Elephas maximus indicus: one gene and its partners. The protein of the gene in region 2 interacts with the protein of the main gene of each other region in a biochemical or structural test. Links are inferred from orthologs where the notes say so. Each region holds a gene or a part of one and is shown on either strand. Other genes may lie near its edges. The genes, in order: USF1, general transcription factor II-I, BTK and HDAC3.

What was found.
Region 1: the proteins of general transcription factor II-I (region 2) and USF1 form a complex in vitro, tested with the Homo sapiens proteins (2 studies listed by BioGRID). The link is inferred for Elephas maximus indicus from reciprocal best matches to the Homo sapiens genes GTF2I and USF1.
Region 3: the proteins of general transcription factor II-I (region 2) and BTK form a complex in vitro, tested with the Homo sapiens proteins (4 studies listed by BioGRID and IntAct, with this or other methods). The link is inferred for Elephas maximus indicus from reciprocal best matches to the Homo sapiens genes GTF2I and BTK.
Region 4: the proteins of general transcription factor II-I (region 2) and HDAC3 form a complex in vitro, tested with the Homo sapiens proteins (2 studies listed by BioGRID). The link is inferred for Elephas maximus indicus from reciprocal best matches to the Homo sapiens genes GTF2I and HDAC3.

What each region holds. Positions count from the first base shown.
Region 1 is NC_064821.1:199,856,442-199,863,325, reverse strand, and holds the start of USF1 (upstream stimulatory factor 1), read left to right. Parts: upstream 1-3,871; 5' UTR 3,872-3,999; intron 4,000-5,868; 5' UTR 5,869-5,953; coding exon 5,954-5,961; intron 5,962-6,357; coding exon 6,358-6,407; intron 6,408-6,552; exon of another isoform or gene 6,553-6,554; coding exon 6,555-6,670; intron 6,671-6,884. Other genes in the region: ARHGAP30 (rho GTPase-activating protein 30), read left to right, coding at 1-259, 351-1,967.
Region 2 is NC_064830.1:109,094,124-109,100,997, reverse strand, and holds the start of general transcription factor II-I, read left to right. Parts: upstream 1-3,864; 5' UTR 3,865-3,944; intron 3,945-6,874. UniProt on the Homo sapiens protein: Interacts with the basal transcription machinery by coordinating the formation of a multiprotein complex at the C-FOS promoter, and linking specific signal responsive activator complexes.
Region 3 is NC_064846.1:56,724,223-56,731,553, forward strand, and holds the start of BTK (tyrosine-protein kinase BTK), read left to right. Parts: upstream 1-4,318; 5' UTR 4,319-4,462; intron 4,463-7,331. UniProt on the Homo sapiens protein: Non-receptor tyrosine kinase indispensable for B lymphocyte development, differentiation and signaling. Binding of antigen to the B-cell antigen receptor (BCR) triggers signaling that ultimately leads to B-cell activation.
Region 4 is NC_064820.1:154,963,397-154,971,021, forward strand, and holds the start of HDAC3 (histone deacetylase 3), read right to left. Parts: upstream 3,012-7,625; 5' UTR 2,961-3,011; coding exon 2,906-2,960; intron 2,791-2,905; coding exon 2,708-2,790; intron 1,140-2,707; coding exon 997-1,139; intron 1-996. Other genes in the region: RELL2 (RELT-like protein 2), read left to right, coding at 4,432-4,615, 5,004-5,069, 5,150-5,216, 5,668-5,853, 6,160-6,529, 6,637-6,669. UniProt on the Homo sapiens protein: Histone deacetylase that catalyzes the deacetylation of lysine residues on the N-terminal part of the core histones (H2A, H2B, H3 and H4), and some other non-histone substrates.

The DNA of each region.
Region 1 (6,884 bases), on a different chromosome or scaffold from region 2:
GTTGGAGGCAAGTGCAGCTCCTGATTCCTTGGCTGACTCAGGCCCAGTGGACACGGCCCCTGCTCTGGAGGACTCCTTGTCCCAGGAGGTGCAAGATTCCTTCTCCTTCCTAGAGGACTCAAGCGACTCAGAGCCTGAGTGGGTGGGGGTGGAGGATGGGGATGTGGCCAAGGCAGGAGCAGCAGGAGCAGCTTTCTCCCCTGGGGAGGACGACCCTGGGATGGGCTACCTAGAGGAGCTCCTGGGAGTTGAGCCTCAGGTAAGAAGGAGCTGTGCTGGGTTTGGGGGTGGTATGGGGTCTCAGGGTGAGCAGGGCCACCTGGTCCTGAGCCACAATGCTATGCCTACAGGTGGAGGAGTTCTCTGTGGAGCCACCCTTGGATGACCTCTCTCTGGATGAGGCGCAGTTTGTCCTAGCTCCCAGCTGCTGTTCCCTGGACTTTGCTGGCCCCAGGCCTGAAGCAGAGGAGGAAAGTGGGGAGGAAGTCTTCCTGAGTGCCTATGACGACCTAAGTCCCCTTCTGGAGCCCAAACCACCGACCTGGGAAGGTCTAGGGAGTCTGGAGGCAGAGGCAGCAGGGTGTAGAAGACAGGCTTCAGGGCAGGCTTCAGGAGAGCAAGCATGCTTGGAAGTTGGGGAGAACAAGGAGTCTGAGCCTGGAAATAGATGCGACATGAGGGAGGCTGAGGGGAGTCCAGAGACCAAAGTAGAGGTTGGAGAGTCAGGTGAGGAAGGAGTGGAGACTGAGGGAGACCAGGATATGATGGCTAGTTTGAGAGAAGGGAGTGGGGAAGAGACAGAGACCAAGTCCAAAAGCCAGAATGAAGCTGAGAATATGGAGGAGGCTAAGGGTGTGGACGAATCAGGAGAAGAGCAGAGTAAAGACGAGAAGGAAAGAGAGACTGAGAGAGAAGAAGAGGCTGAAGGAGGAGACAAGGCCCAGGTAGAACCTGGAAAAGACCCAGAGTATGGGGCCCAGGAACACCAAGTTGCTGAGGAGAGCTGGGAAGTTGTACATAAACAAGAGGCTGAGGGAGGCAGGGAAGATGATATCAAAGGACAGAGTGGGGATGGGGGCCAAGAGGCAAGAGAAGACCAAGGAGATGGTGAAGACATCAGAATCCTAGAAGCAGCAGCTGGAGGAACAGCGGAGGTCAGCAAGGAATGGGAGAGAGGGGATGGAGGGGCTGAGGGAGACCAGAGGGCTGGAGGTGACCATTTTGAAGAAGGCTCTCTCCCTGAAGGGTCAGGTGGAGAGTCCCTGAGCATTGATAGTGCCAAAGGGGGCAATGCCCAGTCCTTTGAGGAGGAACAGGCAGCCCCACAGCCACCTCTGCCAGAGGAGATGGAGCCTGAGGGGCAGCTTAGTCCAGAGGGCTGTGATCTGTGCCCCTGTCCCCCTGGCTTAGCTGGTGGTGTGGGCATGCGCCTGGCTTCCACCCTGGTTCAGGTCCAACAGGTCCGCTCTGTGCCTGTGGTGCCCCCCAAACCACAGTTTGCCAAGATGCCCAGTGCACTGTGTGGCAAGATCCATGTGGCACCTGCAAACCCATGTCCGAGGCCTGGCCGGCTTGATGGGACTCCTGGGGAAAGGGCTTGGGGGTCCCGAGCCTCCCGCTCCTCCTGGAGGAATGGGGGCAGTCTTTCCTTTGATGCTGCTGTGGCTTTGGCCCGGGACCGCCAGAGGACTGAGGCTCAGGGAGTTCGGCGGACCCAGACCTGTACTGGAGGTGGGGACTACAGCCTCATCCCCAGAACCACCTACGGTAGCATGCTTCCTGCCTATTCTCACCGGCCCCTTAGCTGCCTGGAGCACCCACCTGAAGGCACAGAAGGATCTGAATCCCGGAGTCGGCTTAGTCTGCCCCCCAGAGAACTCCAGCCCCCTGACCCCCTTAAGCCCCCCCAGCGCCGATCGTACGCATTTGAAACACAGGGTAACCTTGGGAAAGGTGAGGAACTGTGATTAGGACCTGGGCAAAGGGGACCAGTAAGCTGTCTTGAATCTCCAGGGTCCCTGACGAGCTGTAGAGCCTAACTCTACAGGCTTTGGCCTCTTGCTTCTCTTTTTGACTGTGGGAGGCCACAGGTTAGTTCGTTTACCTGAGCTTGTCTAAGACAGAAAGCACTTATCCCTTAGGAGATTCCTAAGAAAGTTACCAAGATCTGGTTCCTAGGGAGTGGGGTTATTGGCTAAAGGGAACATAGCCGGTGCCATTGAGTCGATTCCGACTCATAGCGACCCTATAGGACAGAGTAGAACTGCCCCATAGCGTTTTCAAGGAGTGGCTGGTGGATTTGAACTGCCAACCTTTTGGTTAGCAGCTGAACGCTCAATCACTGCGCCAAAAGGAACAGATGTGGGCAGAAAACTTAGAGGTTTTTCAAAGTGAAGAATGGAGGGGGAATTCCAGCCAAGTTCCTACTCTCCTCTGAGGCTGTGAACCTTCATGAAAGCTTAAGGTGAGGTGGGGAGGACAGGGCCAGGTCAGAGCCTATCACACACAAACATTTTGTGTTGCCCACCCCTGTTTTGTTCCTGGACCCCTGAATACTTCCTGTCTGAGCTTCAGATTAGGAGTAACTTATTCAGGAAGCTCTTTGAAGGCTTCAGTGTTTGTTGGGAGGACTGACCATCTTTCCAGCTCACCCACCTGCTGTCTCCAGTCAGCTTAAAGAAGAAGGGGTCCTGTATAGATCTCTCTGGCCTCTCCTTTTCCCTTTGGGATAACTTCCTCTGCTTCGGTTAAGATTTACAGCCTTGGAAACTCTATGGGGCAGTTCTACTCTGTCGTCTAGGGTTACTGTGAATTGGAATTAACTCGATGGCAGTGGGTTTGGTTTTGTTACCTTAGGGAAGGGGAATGGGGCCACTCAGGTCCTGGGGCTGCTTTTCCAGACCAGCTGAACCACAGATCCCACTCTAGTAAGTGGGGGCTGTCTCAGAATAAAAGTTGTATTTTTACATGTAAATAGTGTGAAGTCTCATTATTCTTACTAAAGCCGTGAGTGGTATCATCTCTTCACATGTTTGGGCAAATGTCTTTTTTTCTTTGCTGTTTGTTCTTCCTCAGATGTTGTCATGGAGACCTGTGGCTAGAAACTAGAGCTGAGTTCACGGTGGTCAGGAAAAGGGGAAGAGAAATTATATTTACATAATGCTCATTCTGTGCCAGTAACTGAGCTAGGTGTTCTACGTGCATAGCATCTATGCCCTTGACTTTATTTAAGCCACATAACAGTTCAGAAGGTTGACACTGGTGTCTACTCTTTACAGATGAGGTAACTAAAGCTTAATTAAGTTGCCCAAGATCTCAGAGGTAAGAAGTGGCAAAAGTGGGTATGAGATCTGGGTTTGTCTGGTCCCAAATCAATTAAGGGTTAGGTCCTGGCTAGTTGGAATGGGAATAAAAATTCCTTTCAAAGAAACTGAAGCCTTGGGTCTTTAGGTAAAGGACGGCTGACGCTAATACAAAGAAGTATGCCTAGTTAGCTGTCTTAATCTTCCCGTTAAGAAACACTTCAAACAGATGCCCTGATCCAAGATGGCCTCCCAAATGAGCCTTGTTAAAGATGGCGTCTCGGCCGGACTTCCCTCTCTGACCTAAATTGGCTCCCTCACTACCTTTTCCTGAGACTAAAAAATGCACCGCCCAGCACAAAGATGGTAGCACAAATTAGTCGTCTTTCTCCCATTCTTGCTGAAAACGGTTACGACTTCAGTGTCATTCCGACAAGATCCCAGGAAATGGCACCTTCTCGGTCCAGAGACACTCCAAACACCCCCGCATCCCTCAGCCCTCACCCAGGGGGAACGAACGGAAGTGGGGCGGATCAAGGGGCTGAGTCGGCTGGGCGGGTCGAGAGAGACACTTCCGCCCCTCATCAACATGGCTGCAGGCTGGGAGTGCGCATGAGCGGCTGCCCATGGAGATACCCGGGTCCGGAGGGGGGAAAACACTGTCGGGGAAAAGCAGCGCCTGAGGCGGCCTTGCCCGGTGAGTGCAGGACCAGACAGAAGTCGGGACACTGGGCGGACGGGCAAGGCAGGGCAGCTCTGGTTTGGTTTTAGTTTTCTGGGTTAGGGAACTCTTGGGTAGGAAGCCTTTGTTTTGGGGGAGGGGGCTCGCCTGGCTCTTTATCTCCTACCCCCCTTTGTGGGCCGAGCTCGCTCTCCGCCCCCGAACGGCGCGCGCCCCGTCCTGCGATGCGCGGCCGCGGGCCGTAGCGGGGGGCGCCGAGCGGCCGAGTCCGGGCGGGGACCGCGGGGCCTGCCGAGCCCCTGGCGCCCTTCCCTGCCTCCTCTGCGGAGCAGCCGGGGCGCGGGCTGGCGGCACGGGCCCCGGGGCTCGCGCTTGTCGTGCGCTCAGCTCTGTAAAGCGCCTCCTGGCTGGTGGGCCTCCGGGAAGATGCCGCATTCCCAGGCAAGGTCTCTGCGCCTGACTTCTTTGACGACTTGCCTTTTTTCCCTTTGTGTCCGGACTTAGCGAGGGATCTTGCTGGTCGCTCCTTGTCTGAGCGTGCACGCCACAACATCCTTTTCCTTTGCCGCGTCGCGTATGCCTAGTGCTCAGGAAATGCTTCCTGATGTCCCACTGAGATTTGAATCAGCAGCCTGACCCCGTTGCTGGTGCCCTCAGAGGCTGCCCCTAGCTGACAGCTGTGGATGATAGAGTTGCCTCCTTTCCTGGTGCCCTGCCCTCTCTTTCATTGCCGCCTCCTGCAGTCAGCGCAGCAAGCCTCGGGAGGGGCACCTCCTCCTCAGGTTTGAGGACAGAGGTAGGTGGTCCCTAGGTACTAGTGTTATTTCCACTTAGGGACTGGGATCTCCTTGCAGTATTACTTCCTCTGTCGCTTTCACTTTCAGTTCCTTTTTTTCAAAGACCTATTGACACTTTCCTTAGACACTGGCTTTCCAAAGTGTAACCGCTGAAGATTTTCCTTAGATTTGGGGAAACCTTAAAGGTAGAGAGTTTACAAAAATCTTGTTTGTTTCCTGTTCGGATTATCTTTTTGCCTTGCGCTGTGCGGCTGTTTTTTTCTGGAGGCATTGGTCTGCTCAGCCCGTTGTTTTTCCTGCCCTCTGTCTGGGTGTCAGGGTCCTAAGGATGGCACCTTATGAATGGATTCCTCCCCCATTGTTTCTTCTCCTTCAGAACCTTGAGCTTCCAGCTTTTTTCCTTCTTGCTGAGCCTCAGTTGAAATTTGGAGTTGTCATGGCAACATGTTAGCAAATGTGTTGTTTCACAGGAAGCCTTGGAGAATAAAATAGAGAGGTCTTGAAGATGCTGCATTTGTGCTTTAGGGTCTCTAACAGAAGACATGTATCTGAACACCCCAGAACAAGAGCTCTGTCAATAGAATGGGCCTTAAGGGCCAAGTCTGGTCTTTGTGGTTAGGGATGGTTTTCCAATGGCAATGGGCTTCATGCCATTGAGTTGAGAATAGAGATCTCTTGGTGTAAAGTATACATCTAAGAAGTTGAAAGAAGCATCAGTGTCCATAGCCCTGTGTTTTTTGATAGTGATAGTCTAACAGGGTCTAATCCCTATGAAGCTGCGGTCATGGCAGGTCATAATAGCTTTAGTAATAACCCATCCAGGTACAGGATGTTTCTCAGTCTTCCAGTCCAGTAATCCCCTCTCCACCAGGAGTTGGAGTTGTCGTGGAGGGGTGAGGAACACTATTTGTACGGTGGCTTTTTCAACCATTGTAGCCCAGTCCTCAGCATCAAGAATGGGGGAGGCTTACTGTCCCCTGCAGACGATTGGGTTATGTTCCTGGCTGTATCTTTATGGAGCCTAGTTCTAGAACCAGGAGGCTGTTGAGTTTCCTAGACTCACTGCAAACTCCCTGATTTCTACCAGGATTTAACACACAGGGCTGTGAGGCAAGACATACAAAGACCTCCAGAGAAGGACCAGTTCCTCGGATGTTCCCCCTCACAGAGAGATGAAGGGGTAAGTGAAGAAGAGGTAGGATCTGGGACAGAAGATGGGTGGCCTAGGAGAATGGCAGACTGGATAAGAGCACTGGCTCTGGAGTCAGGCAGATCTGGATTCAAGTCCCAGTGCCATCGCTTATTAGCTGTGTGACTTGGTTTCTCCATCTGTAAAATGGAAGTGGTGATACTTATAGGGCTGTTCTTAGTATTAGATAAGATAGTCCATGTTCAGTGCCTAGCTCAGTGCCTGTGCCCATAGTAAACACTCAGTCAATATTAGCTGTTGTTATTCCAGTCTAATCTCGCATCTGGTGCGAATGCCACTGAGTTCGGGAGCCATATGTTACTGGGTCAGTGAGCTTCTCATTCATTTCTTTCCTTATTCTTCCTTTTGTCCCTTCCTCACAAATAGGCAGCAGAAGACAGCTGAAACGGAAGAGGGGACAGTGCAGATTCAGGAAGGTGAGTGACAGAAATAGAACCAAGAGCCCTTCCTGGTCTCTCCGACGGCCTATCTCCTGTGCACCCTCCTCCTATGAATGACGTACCAGTGGAACAGAGGGAGAAAGGCAGCAGCTCACAGGCCCTTCCTTTGCTTTTTTAATTCAGGTGCAGTGGCAACTGGGGAGGACCCAACCAGCGTGGCTATTGCCAGCATCCAGTCAGCTGCCACCTTCCCTGACCCCAACGTCAAGTACGTCTTCCGAACTGAGAATGGGGGCCAGGTAAGGGAGGGGGCCAGGTTGCTGCAGGTGTGACCTGGGGTTGGGATTGAGGGAGGTAATTGAACATGTCTTGGGAGACTTGGCTTGGAGAATGAGGTGAAGATGTGGACTGTTTGGGGGATGGAGAGGTTTAGAGTAGAAATTAATGTGGGCCAGGGGCTATGCTGAAACTTCTGTAAGGGAAAGGAGGAGGAATGGCTCAATCTGTGTCTTT
Region 2 (6,874 bases):
ACAATTTCACATTTTTTCACCACATCAAAGATTCTGCTTCTAGGTATGGCTGGCATCTGTCTCTCTCAAGCCCACAGTACCTTCCTACAGAATCAAAGCCTCTTTTCAAATTTATAGTCCCTGACAGAGAGGGATTACCCAGTAAGCAAGGTAAACACGGGCTTACTTCTGCTTATTTACTAATCTGTAGTGACCGATTTCACATGGGTTTGTGAAATTGGTTACAGATTAGTGAGTAAGCACAAGTAAACTGTGTTTACCTTGCTTACTGGGTAATCTGTCCCTGGCTCGAGGCAAGAGTGGCGAGTCTGCTCTTCCTGAAGCCTCAGTTTGGTGTATCTTGGTACATGCACTTTATAGAGTGTGTTTCTAGTGTTTAAAGGTCAGATGGACAAAGTGGCTTCAAGAACGGGCTCAAGCATAACAAGGATTGTGAGGATGGCACAGGACTGGGCAATGTTTCGTTCTGTCGCTAGGAGTTAGGACTTACCGGGACCTAGAAACAAACAACAAATTTTCCGTACTACACCATTCCTAAATACAGATTAACAATTTATTTTCATCAGTTGCTCAACCCAAAAAATAGCAATTTATTCTAATGTTGGAAAAAACCTGGCTGTGCAGAGATGGCATCCAAAGTGCCTATGACGAGGGCCACAATTAACGTTAGCATCCTTGCTGCTGACGTGAGAAACTGGCCAAGGAATAGCAGCAACGAATATTCAATAACTGCCTGGTCATGTGCCAAGACTTTAGTAAAGCCTGGAAAAGCATGACATTTATGACTGGAAGACATGAATTTAAGGGTTACACCCATCAATGGCTGTAAGCTTAAGAGAAAAAGGCTCTACATGCTGTTCAAATCACACTGTTGACCATCCCAAAAGGGACAGCTTTCTGACTAGAGACAATTCGAATCCAGCCAAAGTTGAGTTTCAGGAACTGCTTCAACCTCAAAGAATGGTTCCACTCTGAACCATTAAACAAATTCATAGAAAAGAAAGGGAATCGCTCTCAGACACGTTTTTTTTTTTGTTTTTAATTGTGATAAATACATATGTAACAAAACATTTGCCATTTCAACCTTCTCCACGTTTACAATTCAGTGACATTGTTTATCATGTTGTTCAATTATCAACAGTCTTCTCCAGATTTTTCCATTTTTTTAACAGCAGCTCAGTGTCCCCTAGGCAATGAGTCCCCCTTTTCCACTCCCTGGTAATCATAAATGAATGTGCCTATTCTAGATAGTTCATGTAAGTGGAATCATACAGTATTTGTCCTTTTGTGACTGACTTATTTCATTCAGCATAATTCTGACAATTAAAAAAAATTTTTTTGGTGACAATATACACATCAAAATAATTTCTACATGTTTTTCAGTGATATTGGTTACGTTCTTCACGTTGTGTCTACATTCTCGTTATTTCTTCCCTAGTTGTTTCACTGTCCCCTAAACTTGTCATCTATGCTTCAGGGTTACTGACTACATAAATTTTTTTTTTTTTAAAGTTCAGTAGGTACTTAAGAATGACATTTTTTGAGCTAAACTTTTTCGTTGTTGTTTGCTCGTTTAAAAATGCCTTCAGGGGATAGTTTAGGGTCAAGGTTTGAAGAGTATCCCAGGGTAACAGTCTAGGGTGTTCCTCCAGCCTCCAGTAAGTCTTTCTTCTCCTGACAATACTTTTAAAATTGTGCTTTAAGTCAATTTACAAATCAAGTCAGTCTCTCATACAAAAACTTACATACACCTTGCTGTGTACTCCTAGTTCCTCTCCCCCTAATGAGACAGCACACTCCTCCTCTCCACCCTGTATTCCCTGTGTCCACTCAGCCAGCTCCTGTCCCCCCCGGCCTTCTCATTTCGCCTCCAGACAGGAGCTGCCCGCATAGTCTCATGTGTCTACTTGAGCTAATAAGCTCACTCCTCACCAGCATAATTTTCTCTTATAGTCCAGTCCGATCCCTGTCCAGACAAGTTTTTAATGATGACAAGAGTAATCCTCACTAAATGAACTCTTGCCTGACTAATTCACTTCCTAATACTCTCCCAAACGCTCCTCCATGGCTCCGAGACTCCAGTGTCCAGTGACTAGTCCTTTCACAGACCTCAATCTCACAGATTTCCAATAAAGCCATCCCTCTGTTTCCGGGTAAAACATACTGATGCCCACAGCAGCTGAATGTTGGGGCCAAGTAGGAGGTTGCTCTTACCAGCCGAGTCGTAGACTTCTCACGAGTTACGTTTGTTCCTAAGTACACGTCAACCGCACGTGGAATTAGGATTACGGAATTTAATATTCTAAAATGTCAATGAAATACAAGGGCAGAAGGAGTGCTGCTGTTCTCAGTAAGCCCAATGAACACTTTGGAGAGCCTAGGCCAAGGGGAGTCACAGTCCAATTAGTCGAGGACAAATGGCTGTTAACAGGCTGTGGGAGAAATCCTTAAACTCTAGAAGGCTTCCGTAATCTGATCGCCTCGCAGCGTTCTTTCAAATTTTCACCTACTTTTAAAGAAATCCAACAAGGGACCTGTAGATGGGGCTTCACGGGTGCGGTCTACACACGAAGCAGATGGGGAACTCCAGTCTCTGAACGCAAACTCAGGCAAAGGCCTCCGGGTCACCTGAAAGGGCTGGCTGCTCGGCAAGTTCCCTCGCGAGCGACAAAGGCCGGGGCCAGCCTGGTGGTCGCTAGCCGGGGGCGGGGAGGGGGTCACACAGCCACTGGGTTTTCTGCCGGAAACACCTAAACCCGCCGGACTATGGCGTTTTAAGTGTAACTTCGGTGAACAGTCGCGTCTCCCCCTTTACCAAATTCAAGGACCTAACGAAACGCCGAGACGCAAAATACAACTTGGGGGGAGGGCTTTGCGTTCAATTGCTGAGCGGCTGACCCAAGCCCAACGGGAACTCGGTTTTCTGTCCCCACTCCACGGCTTTTACCTCTCGACCTTCCTTCTAAATGGTGCGCGAGGGACCGAGCAGGGCAAGCCGCGGCGGGGGTGAAGAACACAGGTCTCCTCCCCTCGCCGCTCCCAAGCCGCGGCCACAGTCGCTCTGGGTGGCTTTTGAAACAAGCTTGGGGAACGCTAACACGAGTCCTTTGTGTCCCGGAGGGTGGTGCAGGGCGGAGGAGCTCCCTTGGCCGAACTCGGAGGGCCGCAGGCCAGCCTGGAGCGCCCAGCCAGGGCCGGTTCCGGCCCCTCGGCCTGCAGGGCGCCAGGAGTAGGTCGGAGACGCGCGGCGGCCCGGCTGGAGCGCGGCGACGAGGAGGCGGGAGCCGCCCGGGGCCCCGACGTTCGCTCCCTCACCCCGCTCCCCTCCCCCACCCGTGCGGCCAGGCAGGCCCCAGGTGCAGCCATCTTCGGCTCCCACCACCCGCGCCTCCATTGGCAGTCCTTGCGGGAGAGGGCCGGGCGCTGCGTTCGCCTGCTCCTCGGGCTTGCCGGCGCGCGGCTTTCTGGGAGTTGTAGTCCGCCGCACCCACCGCCGCACGACTAGGGGCGAAGAAGAAACTACAACTCCCGCTGCGCAGCGCTGCCGGTGCGCACGCGCAGCGCGCCTTCGAGGAACAAAAAAAAAGGAAAAAAAAAAAGGAGGAGGAGGAGGGTGAGTGAAGCTCAGAGAGCAGAGAAAAGGGGCCACCGATCGCCCCCCCGTTTCCCCGCACGCGCTCTCTGGCCGTGATCGCCTGCCTGCCGCGGTCCCCCCGGCCGCTCCCTCTGTCCCCCGTGAGCGGATCAAGGCGCTGAGCGAGGCCCTGCCCGGGCGGCCATGCGGCGGTGACAGGAGCTCGGCCGAGACGCAAGGGCCCCTCGCCCTCTCAGCAGCTCGCCTCCGCCCAAGGCTGCTCTGCGGCGGCCGCAGTTCGCGCGCGGCCCACACCCGCTTCCCTTCGGCATTCCCGGCCCCGGCGCTGCCTGGAGGCGGCTGCACTCGGGTGAGTCCCTCTGGGCTGATCTCCGTCCCCCGCCCCCGTCCCGGGCGCCATTACGAGCAGGGCCTTTATTGGGTGCCTCCCTCGGGCTCTGCACGGGCGGCGGGCTGCGAACAGCGGTCGCCCGCCGGCGGACAGCCTGCGGGCCCGGCCCTGCCCCCTCCGGAGCGGGCGGCCGGCGGGACGGGGCGTGGGGGTGGGGAGCGGCCGCGGTCGCGGGGGACGACGGTTGCACGCGCGGGGGAGGGGCGCGCGGGGGCGGGGGCCGCACGCGTGAGCGAGGTCCGCGCGCGAGGGAGCGAGCGAGCGGGCGAGCCTGAGGGCTGCGCACGCCCCGCCGCGGTGATTGGCCGGCCGGGCGCTGGGGGCGCGCGCTCGGTGCCAGGCCCGAGCCGGTGGGGTCGCGCTCGGCGTGGTATCTGGGGCTCCTGCGCCGCGGCAGCGGACGCGCCCGATTGGCCGGCCGGCCGCTGGGGGCGGAGCCGCGCGCTGCCTGGTAACGGCGGCCGGCGGGCTGGCGTCGCCGCCCTGCTCGCGCCCAGGTGGGGCGGCCGGGGTGCCGCTGAGGGAAGTAAACACAATGGCCGGAAGGAAGACGCGGCCTCGGGGCCGGGGGCAGACCCGGTCCGGCGCGCAGACGGGCAGCGGGAGGAGCAGAGAAAAGGCGCCGGGTTTGTGTTTGAACCCCCTGCGTGCTCTTCGCCCGCTGCCCGCTTCTAACCGCGTTTCCTCCTGACGAGGCGGGCATCTCCGTCACGGGCCTGCCGGACACTTGGCGGCCGGGCGCCGAGGCGTCGGGTCCTCAGTCCCCTTCTCCTGGCCGCCCGTAGGCACCGGGCTGCGGACCACGGCGTCCTCGGCCCGCTGGGCCCCGGTGCCGGGCGCTGGGGACACACAGGGGACGACGTCGCCGAGGAGGCTTGTCCGCGGCCGCGACCAGCGGTTGGGGATGACCGCCCTTGTCTCATGCGGAGCAGGTTTGCTTCTGGTCCGCGCCTCCGCTTGGCCTCTGCCCGCCTGACTGGGATCTGGGCGCCCCGGGCCACGGACATGTCTCCTGGCGTGCAGTCGCCTCTTCACAGCCTTCTCTCGTCCGGTCTGGTCGGGCTTCTTTCTGCTTAACGTCCCGGTCAGCTGCGTTGTGCCTCCTCGGCGGCCGTGTCGCCCGCCTCCGCAGCGGCCGTGTCGCCCGTCGGGTTCCCTGTCAGTGTTGGCCTCCTGGAGGGGCCGTCTGGGTCCTTCTCCGGTTCCCGGCCTCCCTCCGCGCCCCTTCCAGCCTGCAGCCGCCAGCGGGCGTCGCGGGTAACAGTAACCATGGCTGACGTTGGGGTGTTCCTTATGTCACAGGCGTGGGCCTTAAAGCACCTCAAAGGTATTGCTCTTAGTTTTTATAACCCGTAATTCCCATTTTATAGAGGACAAATAAGCCTCGAGAAGTTGGCGGAATTTACCCTCCTTTACGCAGCCAGTAAAACTTCACGCCAGGATTTGCACACGGGCAGAGGTTTCAGCTCCCATAAACCTTCCCTGGGGGGCTTGGTGAGCACCCGTTGCGGGAGAGATCCCATTCGGTAGGTCTGGGGTGGGCCCAAGAGGATTTGCATTTTTATCGAGTCCCCAGGTGGTGTGGATCCAGCTAACCTAAGCAGGATTTCCAACTGTGATTTCTTCCATTTGAGTTCCATTCTGGTTCACCACAATTTAAAAAATTCTGTTCAGGTTTCACTTCTTCCATCGATTCGAACCGGTTCAAACCTGTTTCTTTTACTCTCCGATCTCCAATTTATGTTCTGCAGATGGCTAACCTGGAGCAGTTTCATCTGAAGACATATGGTTACCAAATTCATTCTTTAACATTGCAAATAATATTGTATTTTTATATTAACCTGAATTTCGTTCATCGCAAGACTTCGTAATTAGTTTTGAAAATTATTGTTGGTAGGTGCCATCGAATGACTTTCAACTATAGCAACGCTGTGTACAACAGAAAGAAAGAGTGTCGGGTCCTGTGCCATCCTCACAATCCTTGCTGTGTTTGAGCCCATTGTTGCAGTCATTCTGTCAGTTCATCTCCTTGAGGGTCTTCCTCTTTTTCATATTTTACCAAATATGAAAGTAGCAATGTTAAACTGTTTCTGTACATTCATTAATAATTTAAAGTGACAGTGACGTTCAGTCTTAATCACTGTCAAAATTGTTCAGTACAGAGAAAAAGTACGATGTAAAATATTTTTAATTCTAATTTTTAAAATACCCTAAAAGTCACTCTAGCAGTCACTTTAAAAATAGTTATGTGATAGAAACACTCCTAATGTACTGTAAAAATATTAAATTGAAGATTCAAAATACTGTTTTAGTAGGAAATTCTCAACTTGATATTATATAATACAATGAAAATACACCTAGTTTTGATATAGGCAACATTCCATTACTAACACTTTTAATAGTCATCTAAAATTGGTTAAGAATTTACTCACAAAATACTAGAAATACAAAGGGTGTTATTGTACCTAATACGTCAGTACATAAAGGCCAACCGCAATAAAACATTTAATATTTTAATATTCACCTTAGTTCTAAGCTGAAGAATTGTCGTATTACATAAAATAACATTTTATTACAAATATAGTTTTAATTTATAAAGTTTATGTAGAAAACATCATTGCCAGAAACCATAATTACACCTAATTAAAAGACTGTCCTTTAATATTGTTTCATTTAACCTATCCCTGTTGTCTCACAAGATGTATTTCACACCTGAGAAAGCTCTCTCAGCACTGACCAAAGTAGCTTGTGCACCCAAAACTACCATAGCGATTTCACAGAGCTGGGGATTTTTGGGTTTGGGGGGATATTGTGAACGGTTTTTTCCCCCAAATTCAAGAATATTTTTTTTTCCTATCAACTCTGCACACCATCAAAGCTTGTTAACA
Region 3 (7,331 bases), on a different chromosome or scaffold from region 2:
CTGACAATGAAATTGTTCAGCTCCTGCAACAGCAATAATGAGGCCAAGAGATGAAAAGTAGCCAGCAGCTCTTCCTTTCCCTGAATACCTGGCAGAAGACATATACTAGGTTTCAAAAGTCTAGTAGCGAAAGACAAAAAAAAAAAAAAAAAAAGACCTATTGCCTTCCAGTGGATTCCAACTCATAGCGACCCTAAGGAGCAGCTGGTAAATTCCAACTGCTGACCTTTCAGTTAGCAGCGGAACTCTTAACCACTACCCACCAGGGCTCCACAAAGAAAGACAGCAGGGTTATTTTGAATTAAGTTCTTACTGTAAGCCAGGCGGAGCCCTGGTGGTGCAGTGGTTAAGAGAGACAGCTGCTCACCAAAAGGTCGGCAGTTCGAATCCACCAGCTGCTCCTTGGAAACCTATGGGGCAGTTCTATTTTGTCAAATAGGGTCACTATGAGTCGAAACCAACTACATGGCAATGGGGTTGTTGTTTTTTTGTTTTGTTTTGTTCTTTGGTATATGCCAGGCCGGGTACTAACCATTTAAAATGGATTATTATATAATTCTCACAGTAGTTCTAGGAGGTAGGTGGTATTATTATTTACCCATATGGAAATTGAGGCTGTAGGATGTTCAACAATTTGCCCAATGTCGACAGTATTTAATGGATCCAGGATACAAACCCAGGTAATCTGACTTCAGAGTATGGGTCCCTTTACCATTATACAGTAATAGTTATAACAGCTAATAGTTTACTGACATTTTCAACTGTTTGACACGCATGGGAAAGCTTGATAATGAATAAGGAAGACTGAAGAAGACTTGATTCCTTTGAATTATGGTGTTGGTGAAGAATACTGAATATACCACAGACTGTCAGAAGAAAGAACAAGTCTGTCTCGGAAGAAGTACAGCCAGAATGCTACTTAGAAGCCAGGATGGCGAGACTTCGTCTCACATACTTTGAATATGTTATCGGGAGACCCCAGTCCCTGGAGAAGGGTATCATGCTTGGTAAAGTAGAGGGTCAGTGAAAAAGAGGAAGACCCTCAACGAGATGGATTGACACAGAGGCTGCATCAATAGGCTCAAACATAGCAACTATTGTGAGGATGGCGCAGGACTGGGCAGTGTTTCATTCTGTTGTACATAGGGTCGCTGTGAGTCGGAACCGACTAGACGGCACCTAACAACCAAAACAAGATGAGGCTCTCAAAACTGAACACATAATTCTAAATGTGCCTTGACCATGCAGTAAGTAGCACATTGACTTTTCTGTGTACGTATTTTACGTCTCCAAGTGAAGCCTATTGTCACCTTGGCTTTCTGGCAGCCACGTCACTGGCTTGACATTTCACTTGATTACTAGTAGCAAAAACCCCTGAGCCATATTCACAAGTGTTACTGATACCCCACTTTCACCTGGAATCTTTGAGGTTTAATGTTGGGCCCAATTATGGGACATAACCCTTAGCCCTGGTAAGATACATTTTACTGGATTTGGCTTATCACTACAGGTGATGAAGATCATTTTGAAAACTAATTATTCTGATTCCACCATCCAGTCTAGCTCACACGGCTCTGCACAATGGACAAATTAGCTAGGCTACTTTCTATATCTTCATTTCTGTATCTTCTATACCTTCCTAAAGGTCATCAATAGAAATGTTGAACAGGGCAACACCAAGAATAGAACCTTATATTACATTGGGAATCTTTTGAGGTGACACTAGGCCATTCATTTGCATTATTTGGGTACAGTCGTTGTTCTGTCAGTACAGACAAGTGTGTTAGGGGAGCAGCTGTGGGGCAGAAGGCGAGGAACAGCCTGAAATTTACATTCCCCTTTCTCCTGTCCTCCACTCCCTTGTCTAGATCTCCCATCTTATATCTATCAACTCCCAGTCCCCACCCAAAAATGGACCTTGAGAAGGGACAGGGCATGTGACAGTAAGCAGCATCTGACTAAAGAAAAAGGGAGGGAAGGAGGACGAATTTCTTTGGCCAGTTCACAGGCTGGCAACTGGAGCAGCTGTTCAGGGGTGACTAGTGAAAGGATATAAGTTATCAATAAAATAGGGAGATCATGCAACACTTGTACCAAAACCAAAAAAAACCCCACTGCTGTCAAGTTGATTCTGATTCATAGCGACCCTACAGGACAGAGTAGAACTGCCCCATAGAGTTTCCAAGGAGTAGCTGGCGGCTTTGAACTGCCAACCTCTAGGTTAGCAGCCATAATGCTTAACCACTACACCACCAGGGTTTCTTATCTACTTTGTGCAGATGTGTGAATTAACTACTCTAACATCCTACAAATGCCATTTTTTAAAGCCCTATTGATTTAAAGGGTGTAGTACTAGAATTCTCACTTTCTATTCAGACCTCAGTTCGATTCCCAGACAATGCACCTCAAGTGCAGGCACCACCTGACTGTCTCTGGAGGCTTGAGTGTATGATGCTAAAAAAAAAGGTTTCAATGGCGTTTCCAGACTAAGATGAACTAGGAAGAAAGGCATGGTGATCTACTTCAAAGTGTATTCAACGAAAACCCTATGGATCACAATGGTCTGATCTGCAATGTAGCAAGTGGATGGTGAGGGCCCAGGCAACATTTCACTTCATTGTGTCAGGGACTAACTCCATGGCAACTAACAACAATATTGATTTACAAATTCTGCCAGGCTTATAATGGGATCTGGGATCTGTTTCTACATTAGGGTATGGTGCTGTCTTAGTCATCTAGTGCTGCTATAACAGAAATACCACAAGTGGGTGTCTTTAACAAACAGAAATTTATTTTCTCACAGTTTAGTAGGCTAGAAGTCCAAATTCAGGGCGCTGGCTCTAGGGAAAGGCTTTCTGTCTGTGTTAGCTCTAGGGCCCTGGGGGAAGGTCCTTATCTCTTTTCAGCTTCTGTTCCTTGGCTCCTTGGTGATTTTCATGTGGCATGGCATCTATCTTCCCCCATCTGTGCTTGCTTGTTTCCTTGGTTAATCTGCTCTTCTTATATCTCAAAAGAGATTGATTTAAGACACACCCTACACTAAAACTTCCTTATTAACATAACAAAGAAAACTCATTTCCCAAATGGGATTATAAGCATAAAGTTTATAACATACGTATATTTTGGGGGACACAAGTCAATCCATAACAGGTGCTTAACCAGTAAACTAGTTGCTGTCAAGTCAATTCTGACTCATGGCACCCCCATGTATGTCAGAGTAGAACTGTGCTCCATAGGGTTTTCAATGGCTGTGACTTTTTGGAAGTAGGCCACGAGGCCCCTTTCTTCTGAGGCACCTCAGGGTGGATTTGAACTGCCGACTTTGGTTAGTAGCTGAGCACTTAACCATTTGCGCCACCCAAGGGACTCCTATTTCTACATTAGTGTACAGTGCTTAGGAACAAGTAGATATGAGAGTACCAGATGTGTCAAGGTAGGAAAGCAGGTCAGTCACCAGGGCCTCTGCTGCCATCACTATCTGCAGCCAATAGTGGCTGTATTTCCAAGGAGAATCCTAGGGGAGACTATTGCAGTTGAAACAGGCTAGGAGGCCGTTTAGAAAACATCTAGGCTTCAAGTTGTGCACCCAGTCTGGTTTATCACTTCATAGGATTAAAGGGCAAAGTGTAAATTAAGAGTTAATTCCTGAGGCCAAATCTTAAATGGAGAAAATCAACATTCACAGGAAATGGGAACGGGCACAGGGCACAAGCCCTTGTTAGGGCTTACATTCTGACTCTTTTATCTATAGAAAAAAAATGCTTTCTTAGAAAATGACTCAGCAGGGGGAAGTCTTGTCTCCACCTCTGTCAGGCTCTGTACTTTGGGGTCCCTGTGTGAGCACTCTCCATCCTTCACCATCAACTCTACCTGTGTGGCCCCAAGTCTCCTCCACCTCAGAGGACATGAGCCTCAAAAGACACTCTTCCTCGGCATTCCCTTCCTCCTGTCTCAGCCAGTCTGTGCAGTTCTCCTCTTTCCTATATGTCTCCACTCCCTGTGCTAACCATCCCCACAGTCCTTCCGGCATGTCGTCCCTTTACCTTGGGGGAGCTCGGCCTGCCCACCCATCTGCTCCACCCAGCCCCTTCTAGAGTCTCAATGGCCACAGTCATGTTAAGGAGGGTTCTTTCAGAGCAGGAAGCATGATAATCACGTTGGAGTTTCCAAGCAAATGAAGGGCGGAGACGGCTGCGGGGGGGGGGGGGGGGTGGAACAGGGACAGCAGCAGGGAACCAGATACCATGCTGCTAAGAAGAAAAAAAAGACATTGGTTTAAGTCAGGAAACAAAAAAAGGGAACTGAGTGGCTGTGAAAGGGTGGGGTTTGCTCAGACTGTCCTTCCTCTCTGGACTGTAAGAATATGTCTCCAGGGCCAGTGTCTTCTGAGATCGAGTCCCACCTTCAAAGTCCCGGCATCTCAATGCATCTGGGAAGCTACCTGCTTTAAGTCAGGACTGAGGTGGGTCTGGGGCATGGCAGGGGCTGGGAAGCAGCAGCAGTAGCAAGTACCTTTCTGGGGGCCCTTGAAGGCCAAAGAGAAAGCAGGGCTGGTGCCATAGAGTCGGCTGGCGGAGGAGGCTGCTGGGCTGGGGGGTAGTATCTTCAGCACAAGGTCTTGGCAGTCCCTTCTGGTGATCAGAAGGGGCTTTAGGGGTCTTTTTTAAGGAGGGATATGGTGGGGAGGGGCACAAAGAGAAAAAGGTAACAAGAGATGACCGTCTGAACAGGTATCCAGTGTTGGAAAGGGGCGCCTCTGCAAAACTTGGCGGAAAAATAACACCGCAGGTGCCAGTGGGATAAAAATAAGCCCTTTGGTCAAATAGTGCTTGAAGACTCAAAATGTAGATTTGTGTCAGCGAAGCCCTTAGAAGAAGTTTTATGAGGCAGATTCTCTGAGAAAACTGTCAAAGTTCACATGCCACAATAGGCAGTTGACCTTCGTGAGCGGGGGAAAAGCTAACTACGTAGAGCTGCATCAGGCCAAACCGGGGCCTGGGACCGGAGCTGGCTTGTTGGAGGGACTGTGTGGAGGCTGAGCCAACCTCGTGGTAATAGGGGGTAAGAGACTTGGCCAGAAGAAGGCAGCCTTAGCCTCAGCCCAGACACTGTGTGGCCAAACCCTGAGGTCGTGGTGAAGCTTTCTCCTATTACTACTGCCTACCATGTGCATGGCCTTCTTTTCTCTGGTCTTCATTATTTCCCTCCTCATCTTCCACCTTCTTCTCTTCCTCCTCCTTTCTCTACCTATCTCCCCTCTTTTTTATACCCTCCTGTATTTTGTTCATTCCTATATCCCCTGGCACAAAGTCAGCACTTAATAAATGATGCATTGGATTTTTCTTGCCCTTTCCTTCCCCTACTCTTTTCCCTTTACCCTATTTGCCTAGTACCTTCCTCATAGGGTTGTTGCGGGGATTCAAAGTGTTAATATATGTAAAGCAGTTAAAATAGGACCTAGTACATAGCAAGTGCTATCTCTCAGTGTTGGCTATTATTTTTATTCCACCTGAGATCTGCCAGTGTCCTCAGAGGGCTCTGCTTAGAGCGAATGAAATGACATTTAGAATATAAGAGATTGCTGACCCTGTTGAAAACGTTCTTGGATGAGTTGCTGGACCTCCAGCTGGAATCCCAGTGCGATTTCTCAGCCACCAATTCTCCAAGCTGGAAGTCTCTAGTCGGTGCTGTGCGTTTCCAGAGGCAGGGCAGCAGCAACATCCTGATGTTGGGAGTCTGCACAGCTCAGAGGCTGTCCTCTGTGCTCTTAGTTGTGTATTAGTTCTGCTCCTTGACTCATTTTGCATGCCAAGCCCCTGAAGCAAGGGTGCTATGCCCTCTCCGAAGCTTCAGTTATTTGATAAAACAATGTCACCCTCCAAATAAGCCACAAAATGCAAATGCTCATGGAAACCTAAAGCCGCCAGAAACGGCACCCCTTAGGGCTAGCCCTATATGCTCTATTCTGACCCCTTTTATCATCACACTAAACTAGCTGCTTATTTTAAAGTTCAAACTCATGTTGCTTATAGCTATTGATGTTTTGGTTTAGAATCCTTTGTAAATTCTTCATGGTGAGAACTGGTGTAACTTTCTACCCACTTCTAGGATATTGATGACAATCTTAAATTACCATCACTATGATTTATTATTTCCATTCTGGCAAGTTTCCTATAAGAGTTTCCTTTCAGTGGACTAGACCCATACCAGGAAGTGATTTAGGTATAAGGGTAAGATCCAAAAACCAAACCTGCAGCTGTCGAGTTGATTCATAAGGGGAAGATATGGCTTATGAAAACCCAGGTATGGATGTTCTCCAAAAAGTCCTCAGGTACCTGCCACTTTTCCCCAATGATACTCAGATCTGATTGGCAACTCCTGGGAATAAGAGTGAGCTAGAATTTTCAGTGAGTCAGTGCTCAACAAGAAGCTACAGAAGAAACCTTGACCTATTTTCCCCTGAAGCTGCTTGGTTATGCAAATGAAGCCAAGGGAGGGGGAAAGAGAACTCCTCTGAGGACCCTGAAACAATTGGGCCACATGTGACTTTCAGTTTCTATGGAGATTTAAGTGCAGTGGCTGAGTGTGTTCAGAGAGCTTTGGGAAGCTGGAAACCTTAATATGCCGGGTTTAGGCTGGCTCTCTGAAAGCCATCACTAGATGGCTGTTAGGCTACTGTTGGTTATTTGAACCTCAATGAGAAGCTCATCTTACTGGCCTGCCTCCCTGAAATGAAAATAAACTGCATTTTATTAGCTCACCCCAGAAGAAAATTTTAGAGAGCCAAGAGAAGTAAATTTGAGACAAGTTAGAGGTTGGAACGTACTGGAGTCCAAGATCACTGCCTCAATGGAAATAATAGATTAGTCTGCAAAACACTGAAGTGTGAACAAAAATAGGGAAATGAATTGGTTAGACATGGAGCATAAAGGAGTTGAGAGTGCAGGGGTAAGGGGACTCTCAAAAACTGCTATTTGTTGTGGAAATTGGTACAATGTTCCAGGAAACCATTTTGACAATATGTAACAAAATGAAAAAATACACGTACTTTTTTGACTCAGTAAATGATGCTTATAAAAGGATAAAATACGACCAAACCCGTTGCCATCGACTCATGGCAACGCCATGTGTTACAGAGTAGAACTGAGCTCCGCAGGGTTTTCTTGGCTGTAATCTTTACAGAAGCAGATTGCCAGGCCTTTCTTCTACTGTGCTTCTGGGTGGGTTCAAACTGTCAACCTTTCAGTTAGTAGCTGAGTGCAAACCATTTGTGCCATCCAGACACTTCAATGATGCTTATAGAGAAATCCCAATAACATGGGGAAATAATC
Region 4 (7,625 bases), on a different chromosome or scaffold from region 2:
ATAGTGACCCTATAGAATGGAATAGAACTGGCCCATTGGGTTCCCAAGGCTGTAATCTTTACAGAACCAGACTGCCACATCTTTCTCCCTCAGAACGGCTGGTGGGTTTGAACCACAGGCAGCCGAGTGCTTAACCACTGCACCACGAGGGCCCCTCTCTACTTAATCCAAAAAACCCGTTGCCGTCGAGTCGATTCCGACTCATAGCAACCCTATAAGACAGAGTAGAACTGCCCCATAGTGTTTTCAAGGAGCGCCTGGTGGATTCGAACCACTGACCTCTGGTTACAGCCACAGCTCTTAACCACTATGCCACCAGGGTTTGCATGATAGGGCTGCTTAAAAGGTCAGGCCACGCCTGTCTCTTTTAACCTCAATTCAGATCACTCTCCTCTTCATATTCAGCACTCGGCCTTTTTTCTGTCCCTCAAATGAGTCATACTCTATCCTACCAGAGACCATTAACACATATAGTCCCTGCTGCCCACCATATGCTCTCTCCCCCTCCAGCCACCCAACCCCCTTTCACCTAATCACTTCCTGCTCTTTCTGCAGATGTCAGTTCAATCCTCTCTTTACTCCCTCTAGGAAGTCTTCCCTGACCAGCCTCCTCCTAAACTAGATTATTCTCCCAACTATACGCTTTCACAGTCTGTCATGTACCCCTTCCTGCATAGGACTTGGCACAACCACAATATTAAATTTATGTATAGATTAGATGATTGCCTTCCCACTAGACTGCAAGCTCCACGATTGTTTATTCCCACCTCCTAGCTTTTTTCATTTTTGTTCATCATTGTATGCCCAGCACTTAGCACCAGATCTGGCCTATAGCAAATGATCAATAACTATTTGCTGAATAAACAAATGAGAAAGTGGTGATTCACTGATAAGTAAGCCCTCTTCTTAGCTTTCCAGTGCTGTTGCCACAAGATCTCGTGCAAGAATTCCCCCTTTTGAAGTGCCGAGCATCAAAATTCCCAGTCCTCTCCTCACCAGTCATCACCCACATTGAAGGCATTAAGGCTCTTGGTGAAGCCTTGCATATTGGTGGGGCTGACTCTCTGCAGGAAGTCGATGTAGTCCTCGGAGTGGAAGCGGCACATGTCGTGCTGGGAAGCCTGGTATGGCTTGAAAACCTCGGGATGGAGACACAAGATGAACCCAGGCAGGGTCATGCCCACTCACGGGGCTGAGACCACTCACACTGAACCCAACCCTGGCAATTGTTCAAGTCCGCACGCAGCAGTCACCACACCACACGCAACGGACATCACATCACAACACACCAATCCTTGTTATTCTGTGAGGCAAAGGTCACTCTGCGCCTGAAGAAAACAGGCTCTGATGAGCCAAGTGGGTTATTATGATCGAGCCCCCTGACCGGGCTTCCTGCCTCATTCCCACCTCCAGCCCAGGGCTGCTGGGCCCTCCCTCTAGAGCTCTAACATCTTCCAGGTAGAAAGAAGAGACGAGGAGAAGGGATGGGAAATGAGGGTAAACCCCACAGTCAGGTACAGTGGTCCAGCCCCTCCCCCACCTTTAAGGCCACAGCACTACCCACATACTAAGATGCTAGGGATGAAGACATCAGGTCTTCAAACCAGCCCCACCCCACCATACCCCTAAGCCAAGGGCCGGTCCACCTGAGGCCAAGGGGTGGCTGACCTGAAGTGAAAAAGTAACCCCCGTTAAGTCAGAGGACACCATCCTCTACACTCTGGAGAAGGAGGGAGGTTACTCCTGGTGTCTTCTATCCAGCTATCCCCTCCCTTCTCCCATTCTAGAGTCAAAGACCACCTTCTAATTAAAACCCAAAGGACTAAACCAGAGATTTAGTATCTTTTGGGTACCTCACATGCCCCTTTGGAAACTGGGCAAGAACAGTGCAGTTTTTCTCTCTCTAGAAAATGCACACAGGTATATATAGGCAAATGATTTCAGGGAATTCATTGACTCGTGCATTAACATCACTTCAGTCTTTTCTATGACCAATCCACTTGACTGTGCCTCAGCACAAGCAGCGGACACTCATTCATATTGTTGGCCAATTCCCCTCACAACGCATAAGGGTTAGGCCTGTTATACCGCCAAATCACAACTATAAATTACAAGCTGGGGGCAGCGTGTGTGATGTCTGGGAGATGAAGGTTTGAGTAGCAGCGTTCTAGGTTAGAAAGGAGATACCCAGGATGTCTCCTGTCTCCCTCCATACACGCATACACATTTACACCCAAGGCTGGTGGGCCCTCCCTCGAGAGCTCTAACATCTTCCAGAAAGAAACAGGACATGAGGAGAAAAGGTGGGAAATGAGGGTAAACCCCACAGTCAGGTACAGTGGTCCAGCCCCTCCCCCACCCTTAAGGCCACAGCACTACCCACACACTAAGACGCTAAGGATGAAAACATCAGGTCTTCAACCCAGCCCCACCCCACCATACCCCTAGGTCAAGGGCTGGTCCACTTGGGGCCAAAGGGTGGCTGACCTTAAGTGAAAAAAGTAACTCCCGTTAAGTCAGAGAACACCATCCTCAACACGTTGGAGGGAGGTTTCTCCTCGTGCCTTCTGTCCAGCTACACCGCCCCCCACCCCCCCGCTCCTGTTTTCGTATGCAGATCGCACCTGGTGCATTCAGTCCAGCCCACCTAGCCCTAAGACCACAGCTCGCCCCACCCCTAACACATGGCAGAGGCAGCGGGACTTACGATCATCTTCTTATAGAGACCGTAGTGCAGAACCAGACTATGGGTCAATGCCAGGCGATGAGGCTTCATAGGATGTCCAGCCCCTGGGCAATGGGGGTGGGGAGAAGAGAGTTCGTCAGTGTCCACCCCCGGAGTTGCAGCCCCTGCCTCGAAACCTCTGCGCCCTGAAACCCCTCGCACACAACCCTGATCCCTCACCATAATGGAAGTTGCCCACGTCCGGGTCGTAGAAATAGGCCACGGTCTTGGCCATGGCGACCGCGGGACCAGGCCCCGGCCTCCGCCGCCCGCCCGGCCGCCAGCCCCGCCCCCGGCCGTGCGTGCTGCGTATGTACGCAGCCCGCCTCTGCGGAACTGGGAGGCCTAGGCCCCGCCTCCGTGAGACCACGCCCAGGTCACACCCCCTGCAAGACTCCGCCCCTCCCCCGGCTGGCCAGGCCCCTGGGGGTTGGGTGTAAGCGTCCCGGCTCGAGTGCTGGACAAGTAACCTCGGTCTCAGCGTGGGAGGGTCATTTCCTTCCGGGCGGGGGCCAAATCTTCGTGAAGCCGAGCCATTAGTCCAGCCTTCTGCCCCAGAGGAGAGTGCGGCCGTGGTCTCCGCGCCCGCCCCGCTAGTACGCTCTGGAGAACCAGCCACGCCGCCGCGCTCGGGTGCAGAAAACCGGTTTCTGCCTGCCCGCTGGAGAGATCCCTGGCTATCCGCCCGGCTAGGGCATCTGCGGACAGGAGCCTCTCCAGGCGTGCGGGATAGACCAGAGGGGAGCACACCCGCCGGGCCGGGCCGCCTGTCCTGACCCGGACTCAGACGGCGCCGCGCTCCCCCCGGAGAGGTGCCAGCCAGTCACGCGCGCACCACACTTGCGCTCACACACGCGCGCACAGCTCAAGCTCTCCGCTCCGCACACCTGCGCTCCGCCCCCCGGTCCCGGGCCGGCGGCGGGCGAAGGCATTTGGAAACCCAGGGGTTGCTGCGGCGGCGCCTCCCACCCCCCTTCCTTCCCAGGGCCGGAGTTGTCTGAAGCCTGCTGCGGCTCCCAGCCAGCCCTCATCCCTCTCCATCCTTCCCTCCCCCCGCCTGCCGCTGCACCGGTAGCCGCAGCCGCAGCCCGGAGCCGGTGAGGCGGCGAAGGGGGAGGGGAAGGAAACAAGGGATGAGCGCCGGGAGGGCGTCGGGGGCCCCGAGCAGGACTAGGACGCCCCTGGAGCCGAAACCCGAGCCGAAGCCAGAACCGAACCACCGGTACTGGGTGGGCCAGGTGCTCAGGGTGGAAGGAATCGTAAAAGGGAGGGTGCGGGAAGGAAGGCAGGGGAGGGGGCTGCAGAGGCCGGGCCCAGGCCGGCGCGGAGCGGGTGCGAACGCTGACTCAGGCGCGACTCCTGCGCCCGCCGCCTGAGAATTCCGTCCCGTCTTGCGCTGCAGTGTCCTTGGGAGGGACGGAAGAGCAGGGACGAGCTGGAAAGGGGAAAGCTCCGGGCGTCGGGGAAGCGGGACCAGGGTCGTGGAAGAAGACTTGCGCAGCCGCTGTCTGGCCCCGCGTCCCGGCAGCTCTTGGCGCACCAGCACCCCTGGCCCGGACAGCTCCCTGGTTGGGTAGGGGGTGGGACCGGATCTCTGAGCCTTGCCAGTTTGGAATCTGAGGCATTCCTACCCCTCCCCAACATCCCCAGCTGCAGCCCCCTCCCCCCAGGAGGCGCCCTGGCCCGCGCTCGCCCCCCAGGGCCTCATGTCGGAACCACAGCCTGACCTGGAGCCTCCCCAGCATGAGCTGTACATGCTCTTCCTGCTTGTGCTGGTCTTCTTCCTCATGGGCCTCGTAGGCTTCATGATCTGCCACGTGCTCAAGAAGAAGGGCTACCGCTGCCGCACATCGAGGGGCTCGGAGCCTGACGACGCCCAGCTCCAGTCCCGTGAGTCAGGAGCCGGGAACCCTGGCTCAGCCATCTTTCTCTCTTAAACGCTTCTCCCCACATCTTTTTCCGCTTTCCCTGGCCAACAGACCTAGGTCCGATCCCAGTCAAGCCTGCAGGAGGCCTAGTGATGCTTCCTTGAGTCAGCAAGTGGGGTGAAACCACCCTAAAGGCAAGACTAGAGGAGGCAACATGGGGAGGAAGGTCTTTGGCTCCCATTGACCTCCCCATCTTCCCTGGCCTGGCTCCTGAAATGCTAAAGTCCAGCATGAGAGCAAATAGATTAAGGGATATGTTTTGAGGAGTAAGCCACAGGAACCACCAGGTAATGCCCCCCCCCCAAAGTGATTCTTTTCTCTCTTCCTTGCCAACCTCTTTCATCCTTCAGCTGAGGAGGATGACATGAATGAGGACACAGTAGAGAGGATTGTTCGATGCATCATCCAAAATGAAGGTAGGTGTAGGCTGACTCCTTCCCCACCCCCTTCTCTTGCCCTGACCTCCACTAACTCCATCTTTTCTTTCTCCCCTCAGCCAATGCTGAGGCCTTGAAGGAGATGCTGGGGGACAGTGAAGGAGAAGGGACAGTGCAGCTGTCCAGGTGAGTTGCCTGGAAATAAGGTCCAGCATGGCTTTGGTTGCCTTGGAAAGTACTCTCCTCCAGCACAATTCTTTCCCAGTCTCCTTGCATGTTTGTGGGGGCATGGAAGTAGATGGCAAGGTTGGCTCACCTATAGGTAAAAAGTTTTGTAGAAATCCAGGGTCCTTCAAACCATCTCTCCCACCTGAACATCGGCAAGCCTAACACTCACCCTTAATGCCACTCCTTTGGGTTAACCATTATTCTCTTTCTGGCAAACAGTCCCGAGAGGGAGAATGCATGGTCACTGACATCTTAATACTGAGTTTATTACACAAAGACAAGAAAAGAATGTTGGGGTCTTGGGGAAGTGGGATATCTGGGGGTTTAACGAGCATGCTGAAAGAACAGGAGGCAACAGAACAGGAAGGGAGATGGGAATGTCACCCCTGTTCTCCTCCTTCCTGTCCAGCGTGGATGCCACCTCCAGCCTGCAGGATGGAGCCCCCTCCCACCATCACACAGTGCATCTGGGCTCTGCAGCCCCTTGCATCCATTGCAGCCGCAGCAAGAGGCCCCCACTTGTCCGTCAGGGCCGCTCCAAGGAAGGAAAGAGCCGACCCCGGCCTGGAGAGACCACCGTGTTCTCTGTGGGCAGGTGGGGCCACAGTGTTCCAGGGAAAGGGAGGTAGAGGTGGGGGCCACAGTGATCAGGCATCTAACTCAAAAGGTGGGCCTGGTGGGACTCCATGCAGGATCTCCAAAGGGCCCTCCCTGGCTCTTTTCTCCTGGACTGGGCGCTGCAGCAGGGTCAGGCTGCACAATATACCCCAAAGTCTGAGAAGGCCTCCCCTGCCCAGGCCAGAGGGAAGTGGCCATCACACCCAGGATGTCCCTGATTGGAGAGGAGGGCAAGAAGCCTCTCAGTTGTGGTCCTAAGCTCCAGTGTTCCCTCCCCTCCCAGGTTTCGGGTGACACACATTGAGAAACGCCATGGGCTGCATGAGCATCGTGATGGCTCCCCAACAGACAGGAGCTGGGGCTCTAGTGGGGGACAGGACCCAGGGGGCAGTCAGGGATCTGGGGGAGGACAGCCCAGGGCAGGGATGCCTGCCATGGAGAGACTGCCCCCTAACAGGCCACAGTCCCCAGCCCTAGCCAGCCCCCCAGTGCAGAATGGAGGACTCAGGGACAGTAGCATAGTACCTTGTGCACTTGAGGGGAACCCTGGAGCCTCTGCAGAGCTGGTGCTGGGGGCCGGAGGCAGGGGCCCAAGTCCGGGGCTGCCCAGTCAAGAGGCAAAAGCAACCAAACTGGACATCTCAGATCACCAGGTATGAAGACATGGCCAGGGCTTCAGTGGGATGTGGCAGACTGAGCTTTTGTTGTCCCCTACTCTGGGGACTATTTTTCCACTGCTGACCCCTCCCTTTTCTCTCAGGTGTCCCCACCACGGGGAGCAGGGGGTATGTGAGGTGAGTCTGCCTGGGACCCAGGGCAGTGAATCTTATCCTCCTACCCCCCACTCAAGCCCGTCAGCTCCCTGAACCCCCAGGTGAACTGCAGGCTTTAGCCTTTGCTACAAATTTTTGGTTTGGTGGTGGGGAGTGGGCATGTGCTTCAGGGGGTAGATTCAGGAACCCGGAAGTGAAGGGGTCCTGTGTCACCAGGAAAAAACTGGGACAGACCTTAAATAGAAGGCAACATTGTTACCCTCCCTCTCTTCCAAGCCTCATTCTTCGCTGCTGCTGAATGGACTACCAGCTGGCAGAGTCCGGGGTGGGTGGACATGAAGCCCCTCCCCTCCACTGGACAGCACTGCCCCCAGCTGAGGGACCAGCCTTACTTCCACCTGGAGTTTCATGGTCTCAAGCTGGGGGACCTCAGAAGTAGCCCTCAATACACCCGTCAGTCTCTTCCCATTCCCTTGCCTGCCAACAGGCCACCTGACCTGCCTTCCTAACACCTCACTCCATATGCTAGAGCGTGGCAGCTGGGAGCAGGCCCCTGCCTTTGGTGGGCCCTTAAAGCAATAGCACCTTAGGCCCCCTGCCCTCTTGGCGCAAGAGGCCAAGGCTTGGCTTGGGCTTCCTGCCCTTTATTCACTGTCAATAAATCCGCTCAGACCATTACAGCTGCTTTTGCATACTGGCTCCAGCTCCTTCTGATTCGCAAGGCCTGACTCTGTCCCTGCCCCCAGCCCAAGTGGCCCTGGTACCCAGGATGGGGTGGGGCACAGACCCAGGGTGGAGACAAACATGGGCGGAGCCATTCAAGATTTGAGGAGGGTAGGTTCCAGCCCCAGAGATTTCAGGAGTGGGATAGAAGGGGTTCCAGCCTTGGAGATGGGGTGGTGGTGGAAAAGAAAGGGGTAGTTCCAATCCTAGAGATTGCAGGAGAGGAACGGAGGAAAAGGAGTGGGCTCTAGCC